Schizosaccharomyces pombe: one gene and its partners. The gene in region 1 interacts genetically with each later gene. Each region holds a gene or a part of one and is shown in the gene's direction. Other genes may lie near its edges.

What was found.
Region 2: of mit1 (region 1) and asf1, changing one enhances a phenotype caused by changing the other (phenotypic enhancement), as found in Schizosaccharomyces pombe (one study listed by BioGRID).
Region 3: of mit1 (region 1) and set2, changing one enhances a phenotype caused by changing the other (phenotypic enhancement), as found in Schizosaccharomyces pombe (one study listed by BioGRID).

What each region holds. Positions count from the first base shown.
Region 1 is NC_003423.3:980,035-986,934, forward strand, and holds mit1 (SHREC complex ATP-dependent chromatin remodeller Mit1), read left to right. Parts: upstream 1-2,033; coding exon 2,034-6,290; 3' UTR 6,291-6,388; downstream 6,389-6,900. Other genes in the region: TRAMP complex zinc knuckle subunit Air1, read right to left, coding at 1-118, 174-275, 325-546; U1 snRNP-associated protein Usp103, read left to right, coding at 1,206-1,215, 1,262-1,477, 1,537-1,859; protein Nbr1, read right to left, coding at 6,610-6,900. UniProt on the Schizosaccharomyces pombe protein: Required for proper positioning of nucleosomes at heterochromatic loci and for transcriptional gene silencing (TGS) function of the Snf2/Hdac-containing repressor complex (SHREC).
Region 2 is NC_003421.2:1,642,285-1,646,592, reverse strand, and holds asf1 (histone H3-H4 chaperone Asf1), read left to right. Parts: upstream 1-2,008; 5' UTR 2,009-2,037; coding exon 2,038-2,826; 3' UTR 2,827-3,691; downstream 3,692-4,308. Other genes in the region: osr1 (dehydrogenase), read left to right, coding at 717-1,478; SPOM_SPCC663.18 (GTPAse-interacting protein), read left to right, coding at 3,722-3,759, 3,796-3,827, 3,876-4,003. UniProt on the Schizosaccharomyces pombe protein: Histone chaperone that facilitates histone deposition and histone exchange and removal during nucleosome assembly and disassembly.
Region 3 is NC_003424.3:5,407,680-5,412,857, reverse strand, and holds set2 (histone lysine H3-K36 methyltransferase Set2), read left to right. Parts: upstream 1-1,792; 5' UTR 1,793-2,043; coding exon 2,044-4,440; 3' UTR 4,441-4,678; downstream 4,679-5,178. Other genes in the region: spd1 (ribonucleotide reductase (RNR) inhibitor), read right to left, coding at 1-369; SNF2 family ATP-dependent chromatin remodeller Ino80, read right to left, coding at 4,803-5,178. UniProt on the Schizosaccharomyces pombe protein: Histone methyltransferase that trimethylates histone H3 'Lys-36' forming H3K36me3. Involved in transcription elongation as well as in transcription repression.

The sequences.
Region 1 (6,900 bases):
TTTTTCGCGGCTCCGAACATCGCGCAGCTATATGACCCAGTAGTCCACAATTCATGCACTTCTTAGTCCAGGGGCATCTTACGGAAATATGATCATCAATTGCTCCACAAGTCGTACACTGTAATACAGTTAGTAACACTATTAAAAAAACAATGTCCGATCAAAATGCATACCAGAACATGAGGACAATCTTTAGATATGTGACCATTCCCTTTACAATTATGGCAAACTATACTTTCTGAGGGATCTGACCCGAAGTATCTACCCCTGCTCACCTAAATTTTATTAGTAAAAAGTATTAAAAAAAAACTTTTCAATCCATACGTCTGCCCATTCACTTCCTTCCACATCTTCCAAAGTACTATCGGAAAGATCCGTAGAGGAGTCATGGTCATCACTTCCTTGAAAATCATGCTTTTCCAAGCTCACCGAATTTGTGATACTCTGGTCAATCGGTAAAGAATTAATTTTTTGTAACAAGGCCGCATCGTCGATGTCTGAACCATCATCACTTTCTGCTTTTTGGTTTGAAACAGTCATGTCCATATATTGACAAGCAATGTAATAATGGCAAGCACAGTTTTCTTTAACACTTAACAGCCGGCCAGTAGTTTACTTCACAATATTCCCAATCAATTTAACAGTTTAAAAGCAAATAAAACATAAAACACTTCAAGTATTTAACTATCAAATGGAAATTTAATAGTTTCAGTAAAGGCAAAAAATTTTTGGTTAAGGTGTGAGTATTCACCTTACATGGATTATATCTGGCTTTCTCATGAGAAGTTTATTTCATTGAAATGAGCATGACAATAAATGAAATTCAATAAATAACTTATACTCCAAATTACAATTGTTCTCTCAAATGCAACACTTAATGCATAACCAAGAATGTCTGGTACTTAAAAGCCCTGATCGTGAAGAGATATTGAAAGTACAGCAGTAACTTAATTATATTAAAATATTAAATGATTGCACCTTCCCGACTCTTCAAGGCGTTGGATTTTAAAGTAGTTGAAAATTCGAGAGCTTCGTTTCAACACTTTGTAAAGCATAGATAAACAGTAATTTAACATTCAATGTTTAACTATGAACGTTCTTTGTATAGTTGTTGCTAATTGACATTAATTTCTTTTTAAATCATTTTAGCGTTTCAACACAGCTCACATTTATTACAAGACTCAACAACAGCCAAACACGCTAAAATGCCAAGATGTATGATACGATGAATAACAATAATTGAAAACTAATTAATGCTTAGATTTGTGTGATTACTGCCAAGTTTGGCTCACTCATGATAGCCAATCAGTTAGAAAAGCACACAATGCTGGAAGAGCCCATATACAAAATGTTCAGGACTACTATACGAAAGTAGCTCAAGAAGAAGCCCAAAAACAACTTGAAGAAAGGGCATCCTCTGGATTTTTAAAAAAGGGGAATGGTTCGCTAGACCTTCCTTATGCTTATGCGTTTCCTCGTAAGTTATTACTTTATAATACTTTTGTTGAATACGAAGTCTAATATTCCGAATTTTAGCCAAATATAATGTCTTTAACTTAGGATGTCCACCACCGCCCTACATTGTATCCGCAAATACCTATATGGCTCCTAAAGGAATGAATGCTATGAATGCTGCTGCATTCGTCCCTATGATGCCTGCTGTAAATTTAACAAACCAAGTAGCTTTTTCAGCTCCCCAGACTACAGCTTCTTCTAACACTCAACTTACACAACAGCAGCAATCTCTTCCTCAGACAAATGAACATCAACGCGCGCGTACTCATTCGAATGCTAATAACCATTTTACTAAAACCCACCATCAGGGTCAAAGAAGTCATCAAAGGTTTGTACGTGCTTAAAATGACATCTAAAAGATTAAAACTTGTTTGTTACTATTAATGTACTGTATAATAGCTATTGTTTATAACCGTTTACTACTGGTAATTCTTTCTCTTTGCGTTACGTAGTGAAATTTAAGGACAACTCCAAATACACAGTATTTACCAAGAATATTTAGATATTCATCTCAAAGCATGCCAAAAGAAGATGATTCTTTATGTAAAATAGTAGTACGTCGTGAACCGCTTGATGTTTTACTACCTTATTATGACGCGTCTGAAACCACCGTTCAAAAAATACTGCACGAAAATGACAGCACACTGAGTGTTAAATTCTTGGCGGGTGTTGAAGCATTGATAAAAAAAGATGAACTTGATAAATATAAAAATGGAAAAGCTTGTTTAAGAGTATGGTTAAAACACAAATCTCGAAAGAGGTACCATGGGTATATGACTTCAACCGATAAGGATGAGGAAGAGAAAAATGATTATTTACTGAAGTCTAATGGTAGTAAAGTCTTAAGGGACTCAACACGTACCAAGAAATTTAAGTTCGGAAAGGAATTTCACTGCGCACTTAATCCTTCATTTGTCAGTGATGAAACGGCTTCTGACAGTGCAACTTCATCTTCATCTGATACAAATAAGAAGGTTAATAGAAAAGAGCATAATGAGTTATCGTTGTCGCATTTATCTTTCAATGACACGTCCGACTTTGGTAGCTCCGATCTAAGTTCTTCGGAAATTGAGTCCACAGAAAACGATAATAAAGCTCCTTATTTCTCACTTCTTTACTCTGACGGATTTGATTTTATCAAATTTTTACACGTCTGTGTATGTGTCAAATGTCATGGACGTGAACATCGTTCCTCTGGTAAAAATTTTGTTTACTGTGATCATTGCTCAAATGTATACCACTATGACTGTTCTCCACTCCCTTCTTTAAATAAAGAAACGCGTAATTACTCTCAGCAAAATGGTTTTATATGTCCTTTATGTTCCAAAAACTCTAAGGACGTTTTGTGTAATACCGGGTTTGTTTCAGGCGTTTCTTCTGGACAGGATCTAGTTATCCCCCCATCCCTTGCTGATAGGGAATCTCTGTCAATTTTAGTCAATTACTGCAAGTCTATAAGGTTTCGGTGTTTTCGATGTAGGCGTGTCGAATATTTTTTTTATCTGGACAGTAATCCTTTGTCTATTCAGAGAACAATTACTCATTTTATAAAAAAACTTGTTTGTAATGAATGTTCTATGCATCCTTGTGATATTGAAGAGATAATTGCTTGGAGAACTCTAAACAGTTTATATCCTTCAAAAGCTACCCTTTCAAATAATTTTGTTAGTACATCGGACTTGAGCTTTTGGTCTAGAGAGTATTTCGTTCGAAGCAAAGGTAAGTCTTACCTTCACTGTTTTTGGTGTTCTGCTTCATGGCTAGCCGGTATTTCATTAGCTAAAAAGAAAAATTTCGATGGTTTGGAGAATGCCTCATACGACGCAACTAAGCCCATTATTCCAGTATCGTATACAATAATCGATAAGGTTTGGGATGTTCAATATAGAAGTGGAAAGAATGCTCGAACGGCAAAATATAAAACAAAAAAACATCAACTGAAGGCAATTTCTGAAGTTACATTCGCCTTTGTTTCTTGGCGTGGTTTAACTTATTATATGTCAAATTGGGAACCACCTCCTAAAGAAACAGATAGAAATCGCTGGAAAGCGTGGTTAAAAGGGTATTCGGACTTGTTGGAATGTCTATGGATCGAAAAAGCCCCTACAGCTTCGATAAATATTGATTTACCATTTACTAATCTTGAGTGGCACTCTCAACCAAGTTTTATCAAAGGTGGTACACTAATGCCATATCAACTGAAAGGGCTGAACTGGCTTTATTTACGATGGTACACACATCATCCTTGTATTTTAGCTGATGAAATGGGTTTAGGTAAAACTGTACAAGTAATATCTTTCATTAGTGTTTTATTTTACAGACATAAATGCTTCCCGGTACTGGTTATTGTCCCTCATGCCACTGTTGCAAATTGGGAACGAGAGCTTAAAAAATGGGCTCCCTTTCTACAAATTAATGTACTCGTGGGCTCTGAAAAAAACAGAAGTTTAGTCCGTGATTATCGTCTAATCAATCAAAAAGACCCAAAACATGTAAGCACTCATGTCCTCGTTATAAGTGCTTCAAATGTTGAACGTGAAATTTCATTGCTCCGAAAATTTCAGTGGAAAGTTTTAATTGTTGACGAAGGACAACGACTAAAAAATGATCAATCTTCCCTCTTTTATTACCTCTCTTCGGTTAAAAGTGACTTTAAGCTTCTTTTAACCGGGACGCCATTGCAAAATAATGTTCGGGAACTTTTTAATTTACTGCAGTTTTTAAATCCCATGAAAATAAATGCTGCTGAGCTTGAAAAAAGATACAGCATTATTGATACGGAAAAGGTGACTGAACTTCATCAAATCTTAAAGCCGTTTTTTTTAAGAAGAGTGAAAAGCGAAGTACTGGATAACTTTCCTACGAAGGTTGAAGTAATTATTCCTTTGTCCATGACACCTGTTCAAAAAGGTTTATACAAATCGATTCTTTCAAAAAATTTGTCTTTGCTACGTAATATTACCGGCTATGCTAATACCAGTTCTTCTGGAGGGCAAAGGACTACTTCATTGAACAACATTTTGATGCAACTTCGAAAAACATTAGCTCATCCGTACATTTATTCACCAGATATTGAAGACCGTAATCTCCCGTATGAACTTGCTATGCGTTCACTGGAAGAAGCCAGCTGTAAGTTTTTAATATTACGCTTATTGGTACCGAAATTGATAACTCGCGGGCATCGTATATTATTGTTTTCTCAATTTATCCAGCAACTCGATATCCTTGAAGATTGGTTTGAATATAAAAACATAGCCTATGCACGTTTTGATGGCGCCTCATCGGAAATGGAAAGGCAGTCAGCAATCGACTCTTTTAATGCTCCTAATTCTGAGTTGTCATGTTTCTTACTTTCTACCCGTGCTGGTGGAGTTGGCATCAATTTAGCTAGTGCGGACACTGTTATTATACTAGATCCTGATTTCAATCCTCATCAAGACATGCAAGCGATTGCAAGGGCTCATCGATATGGGCAAAAAAAAAAGGTACTTGTCTTTGTGTTAACTACTCGAGATTCTGTAGAGGAAAAAATCATTCAAAACGCTCAAAAGAAGCTTGTATTGGACCACTTAATTGTTGAGTCATTGGATCAAAATCATAATTCAGAAAAAGATTTAGAAAGTATCTTGCGGCATGGGGCTCGTGCATTATTTGAAGAGGCTGGTGATGAACCGTCTATTAAGTATAATGAATATTCGGTAGAATTACTTATCTCAGAAGCTGAGAAACAAGAAGATACTTCAACTGATGAATCAGATATAAAAAGCAATAAGTTTGGCTTTTTTCGTGTTTGGGATAACAAACATATATCTTCCAATCATTATGAAGTCAAAGAAAATGTTCTTGTTGATGAAGAAGATGTCTGGTCAGTAATACTTAAGCAACGAGAGAAGGATGCAATGCTAGAAAAAACAGACGAAACAACTTCCAACAGGAGACTTCGTGCACACCACAAAATCCATTATGGCGAAGATTTAAATATTTATGATAATAGCGACGATACTGATTATACCGTTAATGATCGATCATCACCAGGCTCCCCATTTCCCATAGAAACTGAGACAATCAGTTCGATAACAGATACTTTATCTGATAAGCAAAAACTCAAATATGATTCGAGCGTAAATATCGAAAACTTAAATGATGAATCTGATTCTCAAAAGTCTGCAGATGTTCATTTTGACTCTATCTTAGCTAAATCTCTATTAGCAACAACTCCCAAAGAAGATGAATTTAACAAAACTCTATCCACCATCAATTTAGAGGTGGCTAACAAATTAACTTCTTCAGAGTATATTAATGATTCGGAAATGCAACTGATAGACGATCCAGTTTTTTACCCACCTTACGAAATAATTGAAAAAAATCATCAACTGGTTGGAAGATCTTTGTCTAAAGCAGTTCTTGACAACTTTTTTCTACTGTCTTCTTTGTCTGATAATGTACGTTGTCGATGTTGTGGTATTAAACATTTACCAGCACATTGTCCATTAAGCATTGTGCCATTAGAAATATGCTTTTTATGTGGAACACCTCACTTTAGTGGAAGGGACACGTGCCCTATGTTACGAAATAAGGAAGCGATTTATAGACTAAAAGATTCGCTTAGCAAATCACGAGAACCATTTCACATCAAAAAACAAGCTATGGCTAGATTAAACTCGTTTCTACAAAAAAAGGAGGAACCTACTGTATCAAGCAGTGCCAAAACTAATGAACTTTCATCGAAAGTAATCATAAAGGAATCCATAATTAATGAAGCAAAAACTCTTTAGAGTTTTATCATCAATGTATACTATTATTTAATCTGGCATATTCATATGTATCCTGCATTTTATTCGTTAATATATAATTTTTAATATAAATTTTAAACATATATAGCATTTCCATCAAGATCATTATAACAAGGTAGGATCAAATATGGTAACAAGTGATTCAACTCTGAAGCAAATCATGAACTTAAAACCGGCGGTTATATACGAACAACCGCCAGACAAGTGGACAAAAGAAAGAAATATAAAACTGAAATCAGTTTCGTTATCGTTGTCTTCCACACTAAACTTCTACAGGACATAAAAAGCGTTACGAATGGTTTCAAAAAGACGACTTACTAATTCTGCTAAAAGACTTCGGTACACGAAGGAAGGCGCAAAGACTTTTGTGAAAAACGCTACCATCATCGGAGCAGATATTAAAAAATGCGGTAAAAATCTCTTTGTTACTTTTTTCAGGAACCTTCAAAGCAACTGTAAAATTAACATCCTCACCAGGATGAACGGAAGAAGTGATAGGAAACGAATATGGATTGTCTCCTGGAAAAAGTTTGTCTCCACCATTAAACTTGACATACAACGGAGAAGGCCACGATTGACAAGAAGTATTCCT
Region 2 (4,308 bases), on another chromosome or scaffold:
TTGTTAATTTCATATGTTCTTACAAATGTTTACGAGCATAAAAAGTTTGAGCGAGTCCAAGGTGCCACTTGGATTGTTCAGCAGTTTTAGATCTTGATACGTTTTATTCAACCTTTGGATATATAAAGAAGGGCGTCGCATATAAAAAATTCAAGTGTTCATACAGCAATGCTTAAATCGGTTGCAAACTTATATTTTATCTTAAAATTATTCTATTTCTATGTTTTTTTTGTTTAATAATTTTTATTGTGAAAGGACTTCAAGGTTTAAAAGAGTTGTTTTTTTGTATCCTGATTCAACGCTTTTCTCCTATGGCCAATGTCTCAGCATTATCAATTAAACAATTTTCAAATAAATTCTCCCTTTATGATACTTTATCAAGGAAATTAAAAGAAAGGTGCATTTAAAGGAATACTATTCAGTATGCAAGCAGTATCAAGGAAGCAGCTGACAAACCAATGGAACGGGTTATAAAGATTAGTTGCAATATCCATATTATATGGCAAAATATCACCTAACGCTCTACGTGAACTACTATGAACCTGCTGATTTTGGAAGTATATTCAATTATGTAAGCATCAAAATTCACGGTTCAAATCACGTAAGCATAATGATTTGAAGAATTGGTATATAAGCACGAAGTTAATGATAAATTGCCGACACCAAATTACACTTTTCAAACGGATTCAAGGATCATTCAAATATTGTGTTAGAATATGTCTACTACCAACAAAATTTACTTTATTGCAGGAGGAAATCGAGGCATTGGACTCTCTCTTGTTAAGGAATTGAGCAACAGAGAAGGAACAGTTGTATTTGCAAGTGCCCGCAAGCCTGAAGCTGCTACTGAATTACAAGAATGGAGCAAGTCTCATTCCAATGTGCATATTATTAAGTTAGATATCTCCTCTCTAGAGAGTGCTAATGAAGCCGCTCAAGAAGTTGCAAAAGCTGTAGGTAAAGTAGATGTTCTTTGGGTAAATTCGGGCATTTTTCATTCTTTCAACACTGTTCTGAATACTCCTGATGATGTCTGGAACTCTCACTATAAAACCAATGTTTTAGGACCAATTCATGTCTACCAAGCCTTTTATCCTCTTGTGAAGAAAGGAGAATCTAAAATCATTGTTTTTACTTCATCATTAGTTGGATCCATGGGTGCTTTCTTCCCATTTAACCAATCTGGTTATGGCCAATCCAAGGCTGCTTTAAATTTTACAATGAAGGAAATTAGTTTTGAGCTACAAGATGAAGGATTCATAGTGATTTCAATTCATCCCGGAATGGTTCGAACCGATTCAGCTCAGGAAGCTGTAAATCAGCATGCTGAAGCGAAACCGGAAATTTTAGATATCTTTGCGAAACAGGCCTTGGCACCAGACCAAAGCGCTTCAGATATGTTGAAAGTTGTAGACAATTTGAAGCCCGAAAATAATGGATTTTTTTTCAACTATGATGGTACTACAATTCCATACTGATGGAAATTCACATCATTAACAAGTCATTCGGATTTGCTGTTAAGCTGCATCAATATTATATAACCGAATGATCGAAGGAACTTACAATAACCCTAAATATATGTTTTAATCCGCTTGTATATCTTTTTTAATAATTAGAGATGAAGGAGGTTATGTCTATTTTTTATGTTTCACATACGAGTTGTTTTTGCACAATGAAATTTGATGATCATATTAATTGTACATTGCATGCATTATTAATGAAATAGAAATTTTTATTAAACAACGGTTATGTTTAACTAAACTGCTCTGTAAGTTCTTCGTACTTTCGCATAAAATACTTAACAATGGTTATGTTTTCTATTGTTTACCGAATAGTGAGGCATTGTTTAGATGTGCCTTCAGTATTTATATTTACTGCATTTTAATCCTTATATGTTTGAATCAAATAGGTGTTATTACCTTAGAGCACGAAAAGCGATATAAAATAGTCAAGCGTATCCTTAATTATCCGAACTCTACGAAACCTTTCTTCACCTACGCTGTTCTTGGCAATCGCTTAGACGCGTTTCACTTCGAAATGTCAATCGTGAATATCCTTAGTGTTAATGTGCTAAATAATCCGGCAAAGTTCTCTGATCCATATAAATTCGAAATTACCTTTGAATGTCTGGAGCCGTTAAAAAGCGACCTGGAATGGAAGTTGACATATGTAGGTAGTGCGACGTCTCAAAGTTACGACCAAATTTTGGACACGCTACTAGTGGGACCTATACCAATCGGGATTAATAAATTCGTTTTTGAAGCTGATCCTCCTAATATCGATCTTTTACCTCAACTCAGCGATGTTTTGGGTGTCACAGTTATTTTACTCTCTTGTGCATATGAGGATAATGAGTTTGTTCGAGTAGGTTATTATGTCAACAATGAGATGGAGGGCCTGAACCTTCAGGAAATGGACGATGCAGAAATTAAAAAGGTCAAGGTTGACATTTCTAAAGTCTGGCGCAGTATTTTAGCAGAAAAGCCAAGGGTGACTCGATTCAACATTCAGTGGGATAATCCCGACTTTGACGATGCTCCACCAGTTCAGCCTGACGCGGACGAAGAGGAAGAAGAGGAGGAAGCTGATGAAATGGAGGAAGAATTCGATGAAGAGGGAGAAGGCGATGAGGAGGAGGAGGAGGAAGACGATGGAGACGGTGATGGAGAAGGTGATGGTGATGGAGAAGGAGAAAATGATGGGAAAGGATCGGAAGAAGAAGAAGAAGAAGAAATTGATATAGAGGAAGAAGAAGAAGAGTCGGCTCTTGCAAATGCTTCAGCTGCGGAAGAGAAACCTGAGGAGAAACCAGAGACGTCTCAGTAAAATGATAATCGGACTATTTTTTGAATGCTAATACTAATATTGACAAGAACTAATCCGATAAAGAACATGATTACTTTTTTGTATACTCTCTTTTAGTTTGCGCATATATATCGCTCTACCCGTTATTTTTTCGATGTAAAATATTCATGACTGGTGATAGTGTGAGAATAAAAACTATGGAATGGGAAAAGAGGAATAGCATTTTTTTTCCTGTTACCATAAAGCATTTTTCATAACACATCTTTTATTTAAATTCATTTTTGAACCGTCGACCTTTCCGTTGCATAATGGAGGGAAGAAGCATCTATTGTATGCCTCTTCCAATCGCCCTAAACGCATCATTTGTACCAACGTTCCATATTTTGGAACGGAGTTCTATTAGATTATTATTTTCTTTTTTTCCCATGTAAATTGTTGAAAGACTTTCGCATCCTGGTGTATGAAGTGTGCATTTCATGTTTTTCAAAACATAATTAGGGCACAGACGCAAGCTTTCTCTCCTCGATTTATCCTTACGGGACGGGATCTTTTTCCAGTTTATTAATGTGTGGATCCATTATTAGTATGTTCCATATTTAACTTATTCATCCAAAAGACAGCAGCACTCATTCTAGTTTTCGCCCTATGTATATTTGTTTATTGCAAGACCCATCAGTTGCGTACTCCAATGTAATCCGTTCGCTAATAAAACGTATTATGACATAAAACGCTATTTAAATATTGCGTATAGCAATACTCAACTCAATTAAGGATAATGTCTCTTGCAGTGGCCTCTTTAAATTGAGTGACACCCCTAAGTCACAGCAATGGGAAATGACATGTATTGACGCTACGCTGGTAAGACACTTCCCAACCTCCCATTTTCCGCAAAAAAACAAAAAAAGCGCATTACTCAATGAGTACAGATTCCTTGCCAAGAAGTTTGATGGAGCAGTAAGTGGTTTTGCTAGTTCTTTGCTAAATTGATAGGAAAGCGATGGAATTGCAACAGCAATTGCAAGGTACGATGGCGGTGCGTTTTGGAGAAAGAAAAGACTAACAATTGATAGCTTTGTTGGATGAGATCGATCAAAACAAACAGGAATCTGAAAACATTAGTCGAGAAAGCGAGTATCTGTGCCAATACATCGGCAGCATGATGGCCTTTCAGAATCGTCAGACTGTTCCCAAGAAGTAAAGTCGTTTAACCCTCTTTATGAAGCAACACTTGTACAGAAAGAGTTGTTGATGCACCATTGAATTGATTAATCGCTTTTTTTGATGTTTTTTGTATGATTCGTTCGATGAAGAAGAAAAAAAAATAAGGTTCGTTTGGATAGATGCGTAAGAACGCTGTTAAAACTGCGAATTCTCAGAAAAGTTTTTGGACGAATGACTGGATTACTTTAAGTGTTTGTTTTCCGTTGGATGGATCAGCCCTTTAGCGGCCTTTAGCATTTTTTTACGTAGAGAAATTCCCTTGTACTGGTCGCTGTTGGTTGG
Region 3 (5,178 bases), on another chromosome or scaffold:
TCTCTCATTGGTACCCTCCATGACAACGTCAAACGGCTTCAACCATTCCGGTTCTTCAAAGTCTTGAGGAGGATTGGCCCAGTTATAATTAGGAATTGCTTGCTCGAATGGACGCTTAGTACCGTTAGGCTCATAAGAAAATGCGGTATTTTTTAAAGCAATGTTTTCAGAAACAGTGTTGTAAAGCGGTGGGTTATAGGCAGGAAACGTGGTTTGTTTCGACTTGTATCCGGTGGAAATTGATTTACGAACCCGCATTCCCACGTCCATTAAGGAGCCTTGAATGCTTTCGGGAAGCTGAGGACGCATTGAAGACTCAGGCTGCTCAACATGAGTCTTTGTGGTCATAACTCGCTTGCTGCTGTGCATTTTTTCCAAAATAAATTGTCGACGAACCTTTGTGTAGTGTTTGGTTGTGGGAGCGTTTGCTACTCGGCTTTGTGACGTTTAAAGCAGTCAAATTTGTCTGGGGAATGCCTATCGAACACGGATCTCTTTACATTTCACTAACCCACGTTATTCATAAATGGTAGAAAATCTACAAAATTTGGAATTGCAGTTTTATTGCTTTTGCGATTGAGATCTTGTTTTCTTGTGGTTCTGCCACTTTTTCCGCACTCTTTATATCTAAGAGTTAAAGTAAAACATTTAAAGCAATTAAATTCGCTTTCTCTTTTATTGCCAACTGCTTTCAAGGTAACAGCTGAAACGTTTGTTCGTTAAATTTGGTCAAACCTTTTGCAAAGCTTGAAATCGCTTCTTCCTTTGTTCTTCACATGTTGTCTCATCGTAACTTGGCCCCTGTTCGGTATGGTTTTCTTATTAACTTTACTGGCACCGTCGTGCCATGAAGGACAAGTAGCTGCATATAGATTGTAGTAAGTATAGCTTGAGTTAAAGACCTTTTAAGATAAGATACACATATATAAACATATGGAATAGGTTTATCTTTTTTTCTTAGCCTTTATTTTTGTTTAATAGCTTTTTAAAATTAACAATGACTAATGCTCTGACAAAATTTTAGCATTATTTCAATTTCGCCAATGTATATATTATGTGTTTAAACAATATTAACAAAAGTGGTTGGGTTTGAAGAAATAAAGAATCTACCTAGAATTAACAGGATGAGCATTTTCAAAATAAAATGACTTTATTACATACATTCCTAGTTTCTTTCTTTACCGATTCTCAAACTTCTGTTTAATTACTGCTTCAATAGATGCAGGTAGATGATGATTTTACATTAATAAGACCAAGGGAACAAAAAGAATACCAAATATAATTCAATACCACATGCTTGGATTTGTAAATTGAACATATTGTAAACTTACTTGTTCTGGGTCTATCCAGTATGAGCACGCTGACTGCCTCACTCAAAATATTCGTTGAAAAAGCTTTTCTTATTCATTCATTGTTGATAATTAGTGTCTATCTTTGCGTACCATATGTTTTTTGGATAAACAACCTACTACAGTTACATAGTATGATTGATATTATTAATTCAAAGATATTCGCTACATAAGGCGCCGAGTGTAAAAAACAGAGTGAATTTTATTACACTAACAGTGTTATTTCTTCAACAACTATTATGGAATTTCTGGAAAAGAATGGCATTCAAATGTTGCGCGTGATGGTGATTTTTTGTAGATGCTTGAATGAAATGAAAGTAAAGATTTTAAAGCCTTTTCTTTTAATAGGTTTCTTTAATATTTAACACTAAAGTCAAGAGTTGTCGTTTACACTCCGGTACTGTGAGCCCCTACGAGGATTCCGCGAGTAAAGAAGGAACGCCGCCAACAGCCACAACTTCTTCCTTGAGACAATTTCCTGATCTCACTGTTTCTTTGACACGAAACTTTGAAACGTTAGAAGATCTATATGTTACGCATCGAGATATTTTCGGAAATTTTCTAAAAAGAAGATTTTCGGTGAAATTTCAGCTGGTCTTCTTTCTATTGTTTTGGCTTCCTTCGGCAATTACTTTTTGTTCAATAAAACTGTAGATTTTTTAACTTTCTCTTTCTTTTTGTCCATTATCATACAATGCAGACGGCATCATCTCTTTCTGTTTTAACTCCTTTGAATGAGGAAAACGTTGATAGGAAGTCTTCTTGGTCAAAAGACACAATCGCTGTCCAGGCAGTCGGTTCATCACCATCTTCTTCGTCATCTCATGATTTCGAAAGTAAAGAGGATGCCGAAGGGATGAATAAAGACGAAAGTGCTCCTTCCCCTTCTACGTCCTCGCCATCGTCTGCATCCTCTCGGTCTCAAAGCAAATATGTTAGAAAAGAGGCACTTCCTCCTCAACTTTTTCATCACCTGGATTCTGCGAAAGATAAGGCGCTAACTACGTTCGAAGAGATTCAAGAATGTCAGTATGCTTCCGCCAATATTGGTAAGCCTCCAGAAAACGAAGCTATGATTTGCGATTGTCGGCCTCATTGGGTAGATGGAGTTAATGTTGCTTGTGGGCACGGATCCAATTGTATTAATAGAATGACTTCTATAGAGTGTACGGACGAAGATAACGTTTGTGGACCATCCTGTCAAAACCAACGCTTTCAAAGACATGAATTTGCAAAGGTGGATGTTTTCTTAACCGAAAAGAAAGGGTTTGGTTTGCGCGCTGATGCCAATTTACCCAAAGACACATTTGTCTACGAATACATTGGAGAAGTTATACCTGAACAAAAGTTTCGTAAACGTATGCGACAATACGATAGTGAGGGAATTAAACACTTTTACTTCATGATGCTGCAAAAGGGGGAATATATTGATGCTACTAAAAGGGGGTCGCTCGCAAGATTTTGCAATCACTCTTGTAGACCTAATTGTTATGTTGATAAATGGATGGTAGGAGATAAGCTAAGAATGGGTATATTTTGTAAAAGAGATATTATTCGCGGTGAAGAGCTTACTTTTGACTATAATGTCGATAGATATGGTGCACAAGCCCAACCTTGTTATTGCGGAGAACCTTGCTGTGTAGGGTATATTGGCGGAAAGACGCAAACTGAGGCTCAATCGAAACTACCTGAGAATGTCCGAGAGGCTCTTGGTATTGAAGATGAAGAGGATAGCTGGGAAAACATCACTGCACGTCGACAACGTCGTAAAAAGGGAATTGACGAAACTAGCAAAATTATTGAAGAGGTGCAACCTACTCCTCTGACATCTGAGTCTGCTACTAAAGTGATTGGCGTTCTCCTGCAAACTAAGGATGACTTATTAACAAGAAAGTTAATGGAACGCATTTTCTTGACTTCAGATCCTAGTGTATGCCGTTCGATCATTGCGTTACGTGGTTACAACATTTTTGGTTTGATGCTGAAGAAGTTCAGCATTGATATTGAGTTTATACTACGTTCTATAAAAACCATGTTATCTTGGCCACGCCTAACAAGAAATAAAATCCAAGATTCAAATATTGAGCCCGTTGTTCAAGAGTTTTGCGACCATGAGAACGAGGAGGTCAAAGATCATGCCAAAACTCTTTTAAAAGAATGGGAATCTTTGGAGATAGCTTATCGAATTCCCCGAAGGAAGCCTGGTCAAGTTGCTCCACAGTCAACGAACGCAGAACCCTCCAATAATCAAAGTAATCCTCCTTTAAGGGATCAGGAACCACAACGTGGCGATAAGGGAGATATAAAATCTGCAATCAATAATTCAACAGAAGATTTGAGCAAGAAACATCCAGCATTACATTCTTCTAGGCCTAGTGATAGTCGTTCACGTTCCAAGTTTGGAAATGACTATCAAAGCCATTCAAAACACAACCTTTTTCGTAAAAATTCTTTCCCTAAACGTCGTCGTCTTTCTAACTCTGACACTCCTTCTGAAACAACTACACCAAATAATGAGCAAGAACAAGTCAGCAATCAAGCTAATAAAGTAGATTTAAACAAGATTATTTCAGCGGCAATGGAGAGTGTCAATCAGAAAAATGTGTTGAAGGCACAGAAGGAGGAAGAAGAAAGAATAGCTCAGCAGAAAAGAGAAGAAAAGAGACGTCTTGCTTACGAAGAAAGTTTGAAAAGACATGCCAAAAAGTTGCATGAAAAGAAGACGAAAAGCTCTCAGGATGCCACAATTGATCATCATTTAACTTCGCATAGTCCTGAAAGCATTGCTTTTAAGGCAGTTTTGGCAAAATTTTTTGCTAACAAAACAGCTAGATACCAAGAGAAGCTTGGTAAAGCTGAATTTAAATTGAGAGTAAAGAAAATGACTGAAATTATCTTGAAAAAGCATATTCAGTTAGTTCTATCCAAAAAAGAAAAAGCTTTACCAGATGAATTATCAGACTCTCAGCAGCGAAAGCTGAGAGTTTGGGCATTTCGATATTTGGACACAGTTGTATCGCGTTCTGGCACTGCGACTACAACTCCTACAGATTCACCCAGTATTGGCGAATCCCCGAAAAAAGCTGCTTAATCGCCAGTATTTTTAACTGCGACAAGTAGCAACGTCTACCATACTATAGTTCCAAATATTGCATGTCTTTAATACCTGGTGTCTAGTTTTTTTTTTCTTCCTTGATGTAATATTTTAATACTATTTTTTTTTTTAAATACAATCTTTAATTTCCAGACATAGAAGCCGTATTTGTGTCTAAATGCACGTCGACTGTTTACAACATTTCATCTAATTATATAACCCTGGACTGGACCGGTATAGCATTTTGATTAATAGGTTAATATTTAGCTAATTAAATTCCATGCAAAAATTGATGTACTATTAGGTTAAGTAATTTTTAATAAAACGGGTTAACGAAACTTTAGCTATACACACACCATTTATTCTTCTAATAGCCATGAAACCATTTCTCTTGAGTTACCCTTAAGGTCCATTTGTTTAGTTGGCCGAGTTTCTCCACCTGAAATAACCACTTTTTGTACTTCCTCCTTTTCTTTAGCACGTATAACAATCCGTTCTTCAATGGTTCCACGAGTAATAAATCTGTAAACGGTGACTTGTTTTTGCTGACCGATACGATGAGCTCGATCCATGGCTTGACTATCAATACTAGGATTCCAGTCTGAATCATAAAAAATAACAGTATCAGCGGCAGTTAAGTTAATACCCAAACCACCTGCCCTTGTTGAAAGTAGAAATACAAAGAGTTCGGGCCGTGTTTGCCATTCTGTAACCATATCTCGACGTTGACTAATT